2 linked regions of the Kluyveromyces lactis genome follow. The protein of the gene in region 1 binds, or shares a complex with, the protein of each later gene. Links are inferred from orthologs where the notes say so. Each region holds a gene or a part of one and is shown on either strand. Other genes may lie near its edges.

What was found.
Region 2: the proteins of MAK3 (region 1) and MAK31 are in contact, whole or in part, in a crystal structure (PDB 6YGA), measured with the Saccharomyces cerevisiae proteins. The link is inferred for Kluyveromyces lactis from reciprocal best matches to the Saccharomyces cerevisiae genes MAK3 and MAK31. Residues at the interface, in NP_015376.1 of Saccharomyces cerevisiae: Glu13, Ser32, Ile33, Tyr34, Arg37; in NP_009948.1 of Saccharomyces cerevisiae: Ala30, Val31, Asp32, Gln34, Asn36, Leu37, Leu38, Ser57, Pro59.

Annotation. Positions count from the first base shown.
Region 1 is NC_006038.1:1,057,307-1,059,875, forward strand, and holds MAK3 (peptide alpha-N-acetyltransferase MAK3), read right to left. Parts: upstream 1,088-2,569; coding exon 551-1,087; downstream 1-550. Other genes in the region: POL30 (proliferating cell nuclear antigen), read left to right, coding at 1-464; autophagy protein ATG11, read left to right, coding at 1,552-2,569.
Region 2 is NC_006037.1:973,901-976,513, reverse strand, and holds MAK31 (Mak31p), read right to left. Parts: upstream 1,061-2,613; coding exon 785-1,060; downstream 1-784. Other genes in the region: MAK32 (Mak32p), read left to right, coding at 1-728; HTL1 (Htl1p), read left to right, coding at 1,438-1,683; E2 ubiquitin-conjugating protein UBC8, read left to right, coding at 1,985-1,989, 2,156-2,613. UniProt on the Saccharomyces cerevisiae protein: Component of the NatC N-terminal acetyltransferase, which associates with the ribosome to acetylate nascent protein chains in a cotranslational manner.

The sequences.
Region 1 (2,569 bases):
ATACAAAAAGAGACCGTGTCAGTGAATACTCTTTAAAATTGATGGAAATCGAAACAGATTTCTTGGAGATCTCTGATATGAAATATGAATCCTATATTACAATGCCATCTGCTGATTTCGCGAAGACCGTACGTGACTTAAGTCAATTGAGTGATTCTATTAACATCTTAGTCACTAAGGATACCATCAAATTCGCCGCAGAAGGTGATATCGGAAGTGGGTCCATTGTTGTGAAACCTTTCACCGATTTGGATCATCCTGAAAGTTCAATTAAAGTTACCATAGAAAAACCAGTAGATTTAAGGTTCGGTGCTAAATATTTAAACGACATCATTAAGGGGTCCTCTCTATCAGATACAATCACTATAAAATTATCGGAAGAAGCGCCAGCCCTTTTCCAATTCGATATCTCAAGCGGTAATTTGCAATTCTATTTGGCTCCAAAGTTCGATGAAGAGGAATGAAATCTCTTTTCGCAATGCTATATATATATATATATTGTGTGTGTATTAAAATGACAATTACTGATATAAAATCAATTCAATTTACTTTAGAGTATGGTGTCGGTAGGAAAGGAATCCATCCCCAGGAATGTGCTTCTCACACAACTTTTCTCTGTAATCGGTAAAATGAGTTTAAACGCATCTCCCTGGTTCAAATAATACCGGAATAATCTCTTCATTCTGATGAAGCCCATATTCTCGTATAAATGCAAAGCAGCTGCATTGCTGCATTCAGTCTCCAACATAATCTCGTCACATTTTTCATCAATCATAGTATCTATAGCTAAGGTAATTAGTTTTTTCGCTATCCCACGGCCTCTATATTGTTTCTCCACTGCTAACATGCCAATGTATCCTCTTAACCGCACTCCATTATGAGTATCGCTCTTGCATACTATACATCCTATGGGCTTACCCGATCCTTCTGCCCATGCCAAATACGTTAGGTTCGGCCATTGGTTTAGGAAAAATCTGTACACGTATATCGAATATGGCTCACTGAGATCCTCATCGATCAATTTCTTGATGGTGGAAAACTCCATGTCATTACTGATATCGAATCGTGTGTACCTTATTTCGACCATCCTTTGCTTAGTTTATCTGCAGTATACTTTCTTATTAATTTTTAATTAGTTATATCAATGAGAGTAGATGCTGCCGAAGCTAGCGAATATAAAAAGCTTTACTTAAAACTGTTTATCTCATCATCTGGAGGTTTAAAACCAAATTTTTATAATAAAAGCATATCAGTCACGTGCTCTTGCTTCACCAAACTGATTCGAAAAAAGATTATATGGACCCCCCGGTAAGTTTTATAGGTGAGAAAACCTGTTACATAGTTTTTCAGTCCCCTGACGTTTATCGGCTCTTATTCCACTTGTTGCTTACGGCTTTAGTACTCCAGATTAGATATATCTCAGCATTTAAAGAATACTCATGATATAGAATCCTGTGAGCTAACACCCCCCATTTCATCATCATTAAATCGACATTGTCCCTTTATTTCTTTCCAAAGTCTTAAGGTTACAATCTGATAATTTTATTAATAATGCCGCCATGCAAGTTGATATGTGCTACATCAGGAGTTTCACACCAATTATCTAATGTTTATTTCCCTAGTTTCTTAGATTTGAAACAGTTTGCAAGTGATACTTTCCAGATACCGCTCGATGACATACTTCTATTGTTACCTTATGGAATGATATTGAAGAAAGCAGGATGGGATTCCAGAAAGCTGCAACAAGAAGGATTGGAAGAAATATACGTATTTGACCGTGGAATATTCAATGAGGAGATCGAGTTTTCCCCAAAGCCAAGGTTCCAACTTTTCAAACCTTTGCCATCGCCGATAAGCGATTCGTTACAGTTGGATAAAAATGTCATTCTACGGAATTTAGGGTGGTTGAAGGCTTTGCAATCAGACGTTGAATTTTTCCAGGACGTTATAAAAGAAACTTATCAAGACGTTCAACGGTTATTAGAGTGTGGTACTGTTATGCTTGAGTATTTGAAAAACTACTGCTATGAAGTGGAGGTGCTGTATAATGGCAACGTTGATTTTCTTAACAAGCTTCACGAAGATGGTGCCTCAAATCAATGGCATTCCTTTTATGATAATATTCTCGGCAATATTAAAGTTTCTAATCAGTTATTATCATCATTTTTCAATTATAGCGAGCTAACAGAGATCGAGGATTCCATTCACCGTCTGGATCGTGAACTAAATGCGAAGTTAAAGGAGTTAAAGAAAAGTATTGATGAATGCTACCAGCAGAGAACACAGTTAATCTCAGATTTAGATGATGTGAAAAAAAATTCAGTTGTCAGTTCTGATGATATGGACAACCAAATGGTTGAACGATTTAAAGAAATGGCTACAGAGATTGAGCTTGTATCAAATCAATATAAAGAAGAGGCTTCTAAAGATGCTTCAAAAGAGAAGTTTGAAACATTCAAAAGTGTACATGTCCCCAAATTACAAACAATTTCGCAAGCAATGTTCAATAAAGCTTCCACGAATTTAGATACAAAAGCTACTGTCCAGCAGAAGTTGCAACAGTTGTACC
Region 2 (2,613 bases), on another chromosome or scaffold:
TTTCTGACTGGTGCGAGTCGTTCGGTGTCAAAGCAGTACAAAGAGTTTCATGCTATCATTTGCTATGTTCTGCTGATAGAGTGGCCGATATTCTGGATAAGCTTGCCGAAGAGTTGTCATTTGAGGGAACTCTGAAAACAGGTCAAACGTTTATATGGGAACCAATACCAGATTTGTGTAACGTTGAGCACCTCGAAGGGATTAAGAAGTTGCTCAACGGACCATACCATTTCATCTTTTCGCCAAATGCGGAAGAAGGCGCTAGGATGCTGGGTGAAACAGAGCCAACTGAACTTTCGGATTGCAGCACAATATTATTGAAATTAGCAGCATTGATTAAACCTGGTAACATTTGTGTCCTCAGATGTGGTAAAAAAGGGTCATTGGCCTTAATTTGCAATAAAAATCCATCAAACGATGACATTATCCATTTCCCAGCATACCATTACAAGACTCCAGAATGTGTCATTGATCCAACAGGAGGCGGAAATACTTTCCTTGGAGCATTTGCATTCGCATACGCCATGTGTAAAGACATTTCAATTGCCAGTATATGTGGCAATATTGCTGCAGGTTGTGCCATCGAACAGATCGGTGTACCATCTCACAATGGAATGCACTGGAATAAAACGACTTTTGCAGATAGATTATTATATTATTTATCCACTTATGAACTGAAGCAGGGCCACAGTGAAATATTGAACTCTCTTCAACCAATGAAATATTAAGTCTGTAGGTACCTATTGGGAACAGTTAGATCAGTTTTTTATTTTAATTTGTATTATCATACGTATTGGGAAGAAATATTCAATTTCAGAGCATTGATAGTGTCGACCAGTTCCCTTCTAACTTTTACGGACCGTACAGAAACAAATGGTACACTTACTAAACCCATCTTCCGTACATGGCCGTCATTATTTTCGACCACTTCATCCAGTAGAAGGTTTGCTTTGCAATCAATAGCGATGAGCTTCCCGGTCAAAGATCGTTTCTGATCCAAGTTTATGTACAAAGTTTCGCTCAGTAAATCGTGTAAGTGTACGTTAGATAAATCTGTCATTAATGTAAATTATGCGAGTGATAATGATAACTGGTTGATGCGTTGCCGTTGCCCAGTTTCTCATCTTTGAGGTAGTTTGCCAGATTTCAATCTCTGCACTAAACTCATTTCATATACTTTTACGTATTTTTTTTTTTTAATGGGAAATCTCTAGTTTTAAACAGATATAAACATCTACATCTGTTCAGATGCTCGTTGAAATCCTCGTTCTTTCTCACTAAGCAACTCAGTATCAACGACTCAGTATCAACGACTCAGTATCCGCTGGAATTGATATCATTTCAGAAAGCTTTACTCGTATTAGCTGCAACCATTGTGTCTTCTGGTTATTTTCGACATCTTGTCAGTGTTTTATCAAAGTATTATCGTATTTCGCAATGACCACCACGCAAGGAACCGAACAACCACAAGATTTGAAAGTCAATCTCAAGACAATCACAGCAGAAGACCTATTGTCTAGAAGAGCTAATATGGTGGAGCTTTTCAACTTGTTGGACGACAGTAGCAGAACCGAATTGTTTCTTGGTTCGTCAGAAGACCGCGAAAAGAAACTGGCTTCTCTGAGGAAAAGGCTTCAATCGGTACAACAAGAAGTTGAGACTTTGAAATCAGAATCAGATTAATAAGACGGGGATGCTATGATACAAGCTGCCCAATTCCGAGAGGTTCTCTTTTGTGCATTGTATTCTATTTTTTTTGCTCTTCCTGTCACGTGACTTCCTGTCTTCTGCCATCATTGAATTTGAAAATTGTGGAAAGTGAACTTCAAAAAGATCCTTTTAAGTTGCTAACCCCTTCAACAAGGAAAGCACTCATCATCTTTTGCTGTTCCAGGCGTTAAGACAACGATAATAGAATCGTTTGGTGCTGATATCGCGTTATTGTATTCGATAGGCACGCTACGGTCAAGCTTATTAATTAAAGATGAGGTATGTTCGTTGAAATGGAGTTTTTTCTTTTTTTTAAGATGCTGTGTCTCAGTATCTTTTATGACTAAAGTTTGAATGATCTGTTCAGAATACTAACTATAATCTTGAATGGCTCGTTACACGATATACTTGTGTATAAACGACAAGTTTACATTTTTGAAATCAGTTCTAATTCAAAAAGGAGGATCGAAACGGACGTCATGAAACTTTTGATGAGTGATCATGACGTTGAGTTGGTTGAAGATAAGATGCAAGAGTTCCATATAAAATTTCATGGTCCCAAGGATACACCGTATGAAAAGGGGGTGTGGAGGTTACACGTTGAGTTACCTGACAACTATCCTTACAAATCGCCCAGTATAGGGTTTGTCAACAAGATATTCCATCCGAACATCGATGCTGCATCCGGGTCGATCTGTTTGGACGTGATCAACTCTACGTGGTCTCCGCTATACGACCTTTTAAACATCGTGGAATGGATGATCCCAGGGTTGTTGAAGGAGCCAAATGGGTCGGACCCTTTGAATAACGAAGCAGCAACGTTGCAACTGAAGGATAAAGATATGTATGAACAAAAGATACATGAATACATCAACAAATACGCTACCAAGGAAAAATACATAC